3 linked regions of the Styela clava genome follow. Each later gene encodes a partner of the first gene's protein in a complex. Links are inferred from orthologs where the notes say so. Each region holds a gene or a part of one and is shown on either strand. Other genes may lie near its edges. The genes, in order: eukaryotic translation initiation factor 3 subunit A-like, eukaryotic translation initiation factor 3 subunit E-like and eukaryotic translation initiation factor 3 subunit J-like.

Region 1 (3,755 bases):
ACAACTTGATGGGCCGCGGCCCATAGCCTGATGGGCCGAGGCCCAATTCGATGGACCGTGGCCCCGGCCCATGGGCCGCAGAGGAGTCACCACTTCCACTCCTATTTGGAGTATTGAAATACAGAAATAGTCTACTCAGCTACCAACTTTAAATTCATATGGCAGTGTCACATGAAATGAATTCTACCTTATCTAGACCAGGGGTGTGCAACATTTTTTTGTCGGTGGGCCGTATATCCAACTTCAAACATCTTGCTGGTCTACATACCGCTGTATAGTGATGAAGACACTGCGTAAAATAGCGAAAAGAAAACCATTGTGTATTTTTACCCATGTTTTTAAACATAAACTGTCGATTAGGACTGGGAAAAAATGTGAATGTTGACAAGGGCCGCCTGTTGTAGACCCCTGATGGGGGCCACAAAATTATTTTTGCATTATTCACGCGCCACAATATTGCCTAGAATAGATGAACAGCGTGATATGGAACAAACACTTTTATTGTGCAAACACATTCGATCATTATTTTTCATCGATCAATCTTCCTATATGAACATTTAGTATTAGATTTTATTTTCTTCATAATGGAGAAAGACTTTTTGCAAATATAAGTGCTTTCGAACACAGATAAGATGCTGAAAGCAAAATCCCCTTGGAAAATAGTCATTGCTCACAAGATTTCAAAATGCCATTTTAGATCATATACTTTATATTCAAGCATTGTGGTATTATCCCTCACTTATCTGGTTAAAAATCGTTTTGAATTGGTCAGCTTTATTTTAAAACTCATGTTGACAAATAACTTAATTCAAAATGATCACGGCCGATTGCTGGATTGATTCCTAAATTTGCCAATTGTGAGGTACAGGAGGTAATTACTGAATTTGTTGATGAAACAGCACCAAGAATATTTTCTAATAACAATAGAATTCAAACCACATTACTCGAAATGAAAATTACCAAAGGTGGTACTGCTTTCTAGTTTACATTTTTAATGCATGTCATATGATGTTTATATTTTACAGTTAACAACATCTGATTTAGCATATTTGTCCTTATTAAGTTTTCCGCAGTTTGTCGGAGATGCCAGAGTATTTTCAACGACCTGAAAATGCTCTTAAGAGAGCGCAAGAATTTCTTGAGGTTGGAAAGCTAAAACCAGCCTTAGATGTTCTCAGTGATGTGCTGCGAAGCAAGAAGCATCGAACCTGGCAGAAGATTCATGAGCAAATCATTAGACAATATCTAAACCTTTGTGTGGACCTCCGAAAGAGCCAGGCGGCCAAAGAAGGATTGTATCAGTATAAAATAATTTGCCAGCAAGTCAACATCAACTCTCTTGAAAATGCTGTGAAGAATTATCTCAAGTTAGCTGAAGAGAAGACTGAAGAGGCAAAGGATAAATCAACTGAGACCGCTTTGCAAATGGTTGAAGATCTTGATATGATTGATTCGCCAGAAGGTGTTTTGCTTAGTGCTGTTACTGGTGAGAAAACCCATGATCGAACCAACCGTCTCATGTTGACACCTTGGGTCAAGTTTTTGTGGGAAAGCTATCGCCAATGCTTGGATCTGCTGAGAAATAATAACAGAGTCGAGAAATTGTATCAAGATATTGCTCTAAATGCATTTGAATTCTGTTTGAAGTATGATCGTCGTACAGAATTTCGAAAGCTTTGCGACAATCTTAGAAACCATGTGAAATTGAGTGAGCAGCGTCACCAAACAGCAGTATCTATCAATCTCACCAATGTGGAAAGCCAGTTGTTGCACCTTGGCACAAGGATTGCACAGCTTGATAGTGCTATTAAGATCGAGCTATGGCAAGAAGCATTCAAGGCTGTGGAGGATATCCATTATCTGATGTCACTTTCGAAAAAACCACCAAAGCCCCAAGTTTTGGTGAATTTTCATTCAAAGTTGTCTCTGGTCTTTTGGAAAGCTGGCAACATGCTTTTCCATGCAAGTTCAAGGCACCATTTGTTTCGACTCACCAAAGAGATGAAAAAGAACCCAACTAAGGATGATTTGTCTAGAATGGCTTCTCTCATGCTTGTTTCCACATTAGCTATCCCAATCACTGAGCAGAAACATGGAATTGGTAAAATGCTTGATATGGAAAGTGCTTTGATTGACAAGCACTTAAAGTTGGCAAAGCTTCTTGGGCTCAGCAGACCACCAACTCGTTCAAGCTTGATTGAGGATCTCAAGAAACACAACATATTGCAATACACACCTAAACAGCTGAGAGATCTCTTCCAATGGCTTGAGGTTGATTTCCATCCACTTCGTCTCAGTGCACGTGTTGGACAGTCATTGCAATGGATACGTGAGCAAACAAGAGAACCAGAGCTTGCACAATATATCACTGCTTTGGAGGGAAATGTTGTCTCTCGTGTTCTGCAACAAGTTGCCAATGTCTATCAAACCATTGAGCTATCTCATCTTTTGAGTCTTCTTCCGTTTTGTTCTGCTTTTCAGTTGGAGCGTGCTATTATTGATGCATCTCGCAATGGTCAGATTCAAGTTCGCATTGATCATAGTAAGGGTGCAATCAGGTTTGGCACTGACTTGAATGCTTCTCCACTTTATGTAGAGGATGAATTCTTTGAACCGCAACGCCTGCAACCTCTGCCAAGCGAAAAAATTTCTCAACAATTCAACGAAATGGCTCAATCACTTCATGTTGCTTACAGGAAACTTCAACCACAGGCAGAAGTGGATAAGATGCTCCAGAGGAAAAATGAAATTCTGAACCTCTACACAAAAACTTGGAGGAAAGATCAGCAAAATATATTGCAGAGACGACAAGTTATTGAAATGCGCAAAGAACAGCTTGAAGAATTCAGTAGAGAACGGGAGAAGCAAGAGCAAAAGGCTGCCAAAGAGCAAGAAGAAGCTGTTAAAGCAGCTGAACAAGAACGACTCACGAAGGAAATGAGAGAACGGGAAGAAATGCGTCGCCGCGAGGAAAAGGAAGATGAAGAACGTCGGGTGGCACAGGATCGCCTTGAAATGATTCGAAAGAGTGAACTTGGAGCAAAAATGCTTAAGGACATTGATGTGGACACTTTCACAAAAATTGATCCAGATGAATTAATGAAAAGACAAATGGAAACCATGGAAAGAGAAAAGAAGGATATGCAAGATAGACTGAAAGCTCAAGAGAAGAAAGTGGATTACTTTGAGAGAGCCAAACGTCTTGAAGAGATCCCGCTGATGAAAGAAAAATATGAAAAGAAACGTGAGACTGATGCCATACTATGGGAGGAACTAGAAGCAGAGCGCATTGAAAGAACCAAGGTTGAACAGATCATCACAAATCAAACCAAAGAGAGATTGTCAAGGATGAAAGAGGATCGAAATATATATTTACAGAGTCTGAGAGAATCAAGAAGAGCAATCTTTGATAAAAAGCATTCAGAATTCGAAAAAATGCTTTTCGAAGTTCGCGAAGAACGACTCGCTGAAAGAAAACAAGAGAGAAAAGAGCAACGTCGTCAAAAGTGGCTCAAAGACAAGGCAGAATATGAACAAAGAATACTTGATGAGCAGTTGAAGAGAGAGCGCGAAGAAAAAGAGCGTGCTGAACGTGAAAAACAAGAAGAAGAGACACGTGCATATGAAGAGAAGATGCAAGCACTTAAGATCGCTGAGGAGAAGCGACTGCAAAGAGAACGTGAGATTGAAGCTAAGATTGCTGCCCAACAGAATCCGAATGCCTATAGACCAAGAGGTGAAAGAGATGGCCCACC
Region 2 (3,755 bases), on another chromosome or scaffold:
GGGAAAGAATTTGAATTAGGTAAGTAGAAATTTGCGACAAACAGAAAAAAGTAAATTCTGAAATATGGCGGTCTAACATCATTAATTATGTAATTAGAGTCATTAGACCAACGCTTAAATAGTTTTTCGCTGTGGGAATTCTGCAAGAAATCGATTTACGGAAACAAAAATACTGCCTATCGGGAAAGAGTGCATAATTTGATGCTAGGCGGTTACAATCAAAGTGACAGACTAATGAATGACTATATTCACTTCGGTTACAATCAAAGTATTTGTGATGTTTCTATGACCCTTGACCCCTTGATCTTGATTTTTGACTACTGCATTATTTATTTGCGTTATTGCTGTCTACAAACAAATGAATATAGGATAAAACAAATAATAATAATGAAAAATCATCCTTATATACCGAATTAGCCATTTGAAGTAGACAAAATATGTCTTTGGCCACAAAGGATGCGTTGACAAGGCATGCTTGAACCCTAGTGACGTCATTCAACACCATCACTCGAACACTCGCGTGGCTATAATACAGGAAAAGGAGAATTTGTGTGCTTTATTTCAGGGGTACCCACCGTATGATTGTTTACTTCTCGTTTAAATGAATAGATCAATATTATAAAATTAGAAGTATCCTAAAGTTCATTTGTACGATCTGCATGCAAGTTGCGTTACTAGTGATTTGCTCAAATTTGAGAAAGTTTAGATGTTTGCAGGCTTGTGAAAATGATTTGGATATTCCGACAGCTGAGATCACGGACTAAAATTAGACATTTCGGAAAAGGGAAATGAGTGTAATTCTTTCTAAAAAGATAATCAATTAGTTAAATTAAAATATAGTCCACTTGAAAAAATCAATTAGGAAACTAAAACGGTTCAATTTTTCTTTATGTTATATAGGTATAGTTATTCCAATTAAATTTAAAATGGCTGAATATGATCTCACATCAAAAATTGGTTGTTATTTGGATCGCCACTTGGTGTTTCCATTATTGGAATTTTTATCTGAACGAGACATATTTGATGAAAGGGATTTGCACAAAGGAAAAATTGATCTTCTGAGCAACACAAACATGGTGGATTTCGCAGTGGATGTTTATAAAACTTTGTATCCTGGCGAGGCAAGTATAGCATCTGATAGCTTTCAATTTGGGTCTAGTGTAGTTTCCAACATGAGTACTTCTAGTGGGTGTAACAATTTTAGCTTATGTCCATCTAACCCACACTTGATTGTGTCATCCAAAAATTATGTCACCACGATGTATTAAGGCCCTTTAAACTATACGAACTGTAATCCAAGATGCGCAGATGTTCTCCGATCACTTGTTTTTTCGCCGCAACGATCTTAGTGAGTTCTTTTTCGTCGGCGCAGATGCCATTTCATCGGTTGGAGGCGTGAAGTGATTGTGACATGATATTGATGTCATTTTTTGGATTGTGTAGTCAAATAGGGGTTGGTATTTGATATACGTACATTTGTGCTCTATTTAATGATGCTCTTATTTTTAAGGAGGCTCCTGCTCATCTAACAGAGAAAAGATTAGAAGTTGTCGGCTTATTAAAATCTCATACTACAAAAACTATGCCTATCGTTGAGATTTTCAATAACCCGGAAGTCAGTAAACAGGTTGGTGCTGCTTATTATTGGATTCAAATGACTGATATTTTATACTAATGCTGATAACAACATACAAATCAATACTTTCTGTCCAGAATATTCATTTAATGTAGAAAATATGAGCATTTTACCATATAGTTCCAGTTCGTGAGTATTTTGCTCTTTTAAAAAGTTTCGGCTAGTACTTGTTTGATGAACAGTTCAACTGAATGATAAAGCTGCATTTCTCAACATTCTCTGATTTTACAGGTCGAAACTGTCAGAGACGGAAAACAACTTTTTGAATATCTGGAAACAAACCATGCATTTAGGCTCGAAGACTTAGATTCTTTATATGATTATGCCAAGTTCCAGTATGAATGTGGTAACTATTCAGGTATGACTATAGAGATTTTAATAGTCAAAGTTGGTTGTTCAATCCATTTGGTACCTGAATTCTATTAATATTATTTTCAGGTGCTGCTGAATACCTATATTTTCATAGAGTTCTTGTAAGTCCGACAGATAAACATGCGATGGATACTTTGTGGGGGAAACTGGCTAGTGAAATATTGATGCAGAATTGGGATACAGCTTGGGAAGATTTGCATAGATTGCGAGAAACAATAGATGCAAACACAATAGCTACTCCTCTGCAGGTTTCACTCATTAGTTATTTGCTAGTTTCACTCATCTTTATATCAATATTATATTTATATGTATATATTGGATAAGATGTTTAATAATAGAGTTGGAAATTTTAGAGTTGGAGGCTATTTTTTCTTAGCATGACCTCATTTATGTAAAAACATGCTCAGAGCTGTGGAAGTCTGGTGGCAGCAAATTCGTCTGCATGTGACAGTTGGGCTCAAAGACCCATAAAATACAGAGCTGATAGTCAAATATATAGATTTATCAATAATATGGATTCTAGTTTTGAGAACATTTTTTGAATATATTTTAAATGTACCTCAAAGTTTAATTTATTAATTTCTGTGGATTTACAGACTTTGGTATTTTAAATTTTAAAACATATGTTTTGTTTCAGCTACTCCAGCAGAGGACATGGCTGATCCATTGGTCTTTGTTTGTATTTTTCAATCATGCTAAGGGCAAAGATGAAATCATTGAACTTTTTCTCTATCAACTACCTTACTTAAATGCTATTCAAACCATGTGTCCCTGGATACTTCGTTATCTCACAACAGCAGTTATCACAAGTAAAAGGAGAAGACAGGTGAGCAATTAATATTTGATTGTAAAGTAATAGGTAGTTTTAGGTAAATAAATAATCTATAATATTTTTGACTTTTTCTAGAAAGCCCCCGCCAAAAAAAAACACTCCCCCTCTGCTCAAATTAAAAAAATTAGTGTCTAGATATTTTTTATTTAATGATGGATTCCAGCACTGAATTTATCGAAGTCGGGGTTATCGACAGCGAATGCTCAATCTGCAGTACTTAAAATGTGGCGGTGGTGTTTTCCAAATCTTACATTTTTGCATTAGTGCAAAAGATCCAACAGTTAGCAGTTAGGTTAAACAAACTTCGTCTTCTAGGTTTTGAAAGATCTTGTTCGTGTAATTCAACAAGAGACCTACACATACCGTGACCCAGTCACTGAATTTATTGAATGTCTTTACATTCATTTTGATTTTGATCGTGCTCAAGAAAAACTGAGGGAATGTGAGACTGTATTGGCAAACGATTTCTTCCTCATTGCTTGTCTTGATGAGTTCATAGAAAATGCAAGATTGTTCATTTTCGAAACATTTTGCCGTATTCATCAGGTATATAATTCATGTTATTTATTATTTGGCTTCCCCATATTAATTGCTCTAACACTATTATTAATGAGTATTAAAAGAGTCTGGCTGTACTGAACAGTGGTGTTTAGAGTAAAATGTAAAGTTTTTAAGAGTTAAGGAGTTTTAACTATTGTCATACTTAAAGACTATTACTAGTTCCTAGCTTATGTGATAAACATGAACTCAATTGATTCTTGAAGTCCCAGTCATTATCTTGTGCTAATATCTGATGGTTGGTTTTTTTCATTTTTTGGATACGTAGAATCAATATAAATTTTTTCTTCCTACGCAGTGCATTAGCATTGATATGCTGGCAGAGAAACTCAACATGAGTTCGGAAGATGCAGAGAG
Region 3 (3,755 bases), on another chromosome or scaffold:
TCAAAATTACAAAATGCCATCTGCGAACCATGATTTTGACACAATATTTCGTTTGGGGCTTCTTATTTCATGTTGCTCTCAAAATAACGATACAGAAAAGTGACTTTTCTATTGGTTTGTTGTTAAAAGGTAAGCATGCAATTTTAAATTCTGTCACATAGTTCTTGTTTCAAGGAGTTGCTATCATTCAAGAATAGATAATTACCCGCAGAATCTTAACTCCGACAATGCTCGAAACTAAACAGACCAAAGTTGTGAGGAGTGGGTGGAAAAATATAATCAGATAAAATGTTTGATAAAAGTAAAGTTCTTTAATGAAATTCCGGTATTAGATGGAAATCTATGAGAAAAGGTTTAAATCCAAGGAATTTGGGATCGGGCTAACCCAATTTAGAACGTCAAGATCAGTAGCTTTTCAGCAACAGGAGATGAGGATTCAGCGAGAAGATTGCTATGTAAATCCTATCCCATCAAACATGGCGAATGATCAAATACTAGTCGCCATAAGGCGCGAGAGAGAAGAAATGGAAATCCGCCCAAGATTTCTCATGTATCTTGCCAGAATTGGAGCCAGCAGTTTACCTTATATCTTGGATTAATTTTAGAATTGTTTTAAAATTTTCGCTTTCCTTATTATATAAATTATTTTGGCATTTTTCATTTATTTAAGAGATAAAATGGTCGACAAATTTAGTATTTAAATTAGTATTTTGTAGAAATAGAGGATCGTTCTAACCAACAGATCTGTCAACCATGAATTACGGTACCAGCTTGCTTGAACATGTGTTGTGTGGATCGGTGTCTGTGAAGAAGGTTTTGGAGGGGTTTGGATTATATCATTGTATCAATGCTCTGTTTCTATTCCTTACTACTGTACTGTACATCATTTATTATTTGTGAATATTGCAACATAGGGTCAGTAGAGTACTTTACAATCACTGAATCAACTTTATTTTTTCTGAAGTCAGCAACTAGATCATTGCATTATTCCAGGTTGTGTTTTATTTAGTCAGTATATTTAGACATTCTGACATTCACACATTGCTTCACTGATCTGACTCTACATCGGGTTTTAGTTTTTATTCCCCGACTCTGTGACTGGAAGTTTTATCACTGAGAACACTTTCTGACTTTGTACAAATCCTGTTGAACGAAGAAAGATATTGCCAATTCTGCAATTAGAATAAAGAATCATGGCTGATTGGGGTTAGATATTGTTCATGCTAATGTTTCTTTTTATTATTGCCTTACAGTATTACCGCACTGACATGTAAAATTGACTTTAATTATTTAAATAATTTCCTAATCAAACAACTACCGTTAAGATATGGTTAAATCATACAAAATTTTTTTTTCTATTTCATCACTTGTTACATGTATGTGAACAAGGATATTTTTTACAATAACAGAAGATGAAGATTTTGAACCTCCAACTATTGACAAACCCGTTGCGCCAGCTACTGATCTGTGGGAGGGAGAAGATGAAGAGGATGACATCAAAGATAACTGGGATGATGAAGAGGAAGAGAAAAAGCCAGAAACACCGAATCAAGGTTTAATATAGCTAGGCTTTCAACTTACAAGACCAAGGCTAATGTTGAAATTTCAAAAATATTTTATTTAAAAATATTACAAAGAAATAAGTACTGTTTTTTAAGCTGGTAATCTAATTATAGTTTGAAACAATGTTCAAAAGTAGTTAAATAAAAAGTTACAGGATATTCAAAATTAAAAATATAGGTTTTTCTCAATTTCTCAAACAGGTTTCCCCCTTTTAGGTTAGAACCCTCGATATTGTAATTGTTTTGCCATTGAGTTCTTTAATATAAAAGCCTTGTTGATTTATTAATTTTTCAGATTTTGGTTGACTTTGTTTTAAATATCATCATATTGACTAGCGGAAGTTTTATAATATGACCAACAAACATGCAAAGCAAACTCATTGAATATACAAAGACTCTCTTCGTTGAAGGCACAGTTTATAGAATCCATATCTGAAAATATTATTTTAGAATGATTCAATTAGTTTTTGCTGTTTCTACTACCAATCAACCAAGACTTTGTTTTGTTTCATTCTTGAATTCTTCCATTTGAAAATATCTATTTACACATTCAATAATTCAAAAAAATTATTATCTGAAAAAAAAAAAATATATATTTTGTTTGAGTGATTGAACAATTTTTTCTGTCCAAGTGATTTCAACTGATATCCTCAAAATTTGGATTTGCTTTCCAGTTTATAGGTTTGATACAAATTATTATTATTGGTGAAATAATTCACTTCATATTTGACTGAAAATTTATATTGAATTCCTGGCCTTGCATGATTTTTTTTTGTTTCTTCATCAGCTGCAGCTGCAGGAGAACCAAAGAAAAGTACAAAAAAGGCACTGTCTAAGAAACTAAAGGAAAAAGAAGAACAAGCAGCTAGAGCAGCAGAGGCAAAAAGGCTGGCAGCACTTGCAGAGAAAACGCCAGAAGAAATTATGGCTGACAAGTTGATGGCTCAAAAGTTATCTGAAGAATCTGATTTTGAAGTTGCTAAAGATACATTCGGTTGGTTTTTTGATTGATATTTGTTAAACATATGTAGAATAAAGCAAAATAACTGATTTTTTGTCATGAATTTCTTCAAATAAGTAGCTTTTATATCGAACACTGTCTTACAAAGAAAACTCTAGGAATAGTAATTTGTGATGGCAATTTCATATCGAAGTCAGTTTTATGGTTATGGTTAATTATGGTTACAATTTGCTTTATTTTTAGGGGAAATCTTTTAGGATGTAAATGGTGATAATGCAGCAACATAAGCGAATGAAGTGTAAAAAAATTTTTTTTTCAGGTGTAACGTCTGCTGATTTGATCACAATAGACAATTGTGATCCAAGAACTAAAGAAGATTTCATAAATTTCGAAAAGTTAATTTCAGAAAAATTCTCAAAATATGAATCGTCTCCGCATTATCAATCCTTCCTTGAAACCTTATTTCGGAATTCTTGCTTAAGTCGTGAGTTGTTTTATTACAGTATTTTTAGTCTCATCTATATAATTAATATTTTTTCCCAAAGTTACTGGCAATCCGTCACATAAACCATCGTATTTAAATGAGACTGGGTAGATGTTTATTAAGGAGCAAACCTTCGGGGGTTCTTCCAAAAATCTGTAACTAGCCTATATTAAAAAGGGTCATCTGTAAATGGACTTTCTATTCGAAATGTCTGTGAAATTTAGTCGAGCAGATTTGGAAATTGGAAACACTTTGGGAATTTTTCCATATGGATCCTTTTAGATTAATCAGTAATTTGATGAATAATAACTAACATGATAATTACTTTAGGGAAACAATAATGGAGACAGCTAGTATGTCCTGACATATTTTTGTTGTCTGACTGATTTTCCTGATCTAAATTGCAATATTTCTAGATAGGACTTGTTACAAATAAAGCATCCAGAGCTGCTTAATATTCAATGCATTTCTCATTCATCTGCTTTTCCTTAGTTGATGCCGAATCTTTGAAGAAACTCATAAGTTCTTTGAATGTTTTACAAAGTGAAAAAGCAAAACAAGAAAGGGTATGTTTTAGATTTTTGACGACTTACAGATTAATTGAAAATATATGTACACACACAAAAATTTGTACCTTAATTATGAAAATCATTTTGTATGGTGTTCAGAAATCCTTTCATTCATGGTTTGAGACTGCGTCTTCACCAAGGGATTCTTGCCATCATGATAGCAAGCATATTCTCAATGC

Evidence for each region.
Region 2: eukaryotic translation initiation factor 3 subunit A-like (region 1) and eukaryotic translation initiation factor 3 subunit E-like share a complex: the UniProt entries of both Drosophila melanogaster proteins name them as parts of the eukaryotic translation initiation factor 3 (eIF-3) complex. The link is inferred for Styela clava from reciprocal best matches to the Drosophila melanogaster genes eIF3a and eIF3e.
Region 3: eukaryotic translation initiation factor 3 subunit A-like (region 1) and eukaryotic translation initiation factor 3 subunit J-like share a complex: the UniProt entries of both Drosophila melanogaster proteins name them as parts of the eukaryotic translation initiation factor 3 (eIF-3) complex. The link is inferred for Styela clava from reciprocal best matches to the Drosophila melanogaster genes eIF3a and eIF3j.

What each region holds. Positions count from the first base shown.
Region 1 is NC_135253.1:8,120,202-8,123,956, forward strand, and holds the start of eukaryotic translation initiation factor 3 subunit A-like, read left to right. Parts: upstream 1-1,004; 5' UTR 1,005-1,083; coding exon 1,084-3,755. UniProt on the Drosophila melanogaster protein: RNA-binding component of the eukaryotic translation initiation factor 3 (eIF-3) complex, which is involved in protein synthesis of a specialized repertoire of mRNAs and, together with other initiation factors, stimulates binding of mRNA and methionyl-tRNAi to the 40S ribosome.
Region 2 is NC_135257.1:13,248,775-13,252,529, reverse strand, and holds the start of eukaryotic translation initiation factor 3 subunit E-like, read left to right. Parts: upstream 1-899; 5' UTR 900-926; coding exon 927-1,121; intron 1,122-1,510; coding exon 1,511-1,627; intron 1,628-1,867; coding exon 1,868-1,994; intron 1,995-2,074; coding exon 2,075-2,256; intron 2,257-2,645; coding exon 2,646-2,834; intron 2,835-3,155; coding exon 3,156-3,386; intron 3,387-3,696; coding exon 3,697-3,755. UniProt on the Drosophila melanogaster protein: Component of the eukaryotic translation initiation factor 3 (eIF-3) complex, which is involved in protein synthesis of a specialized repertoire of mRNAs and, together with other initiation factors, stimulates binding of mRNA and methionyl-tRNAi to the 40S ribosome.
Region 3 is NC_135257.1:14,147,472-14,151,226, forward strand, and holds the start of eukaryotic translation initiation factor 3 subunit J-like, read left to right. Parts: upstream 1-935; 5' UTR 936-1,193; coding exon 1,194-1,206; intron 1,207-1,409; coding exon 1,410-1,553; intron 1,554-2,349; coding exon 2,350-2,556; intron 2,557-2,842; coding exon 2,843-3,007; intron 3,008-3,499; coding exon 3,500-3,573; intron 3,574-3,755. UniProt on the Drosophila melanogaster protein: Component of the eukaryotic translation initiation factor 3 (eIF-3) complex, which is involved in protein synthesis of a specialized repertoire of mRNAs and, together with other initiation factors, stimulates binding of mRNA and methionyl-tRNAi to the 40S ribosome.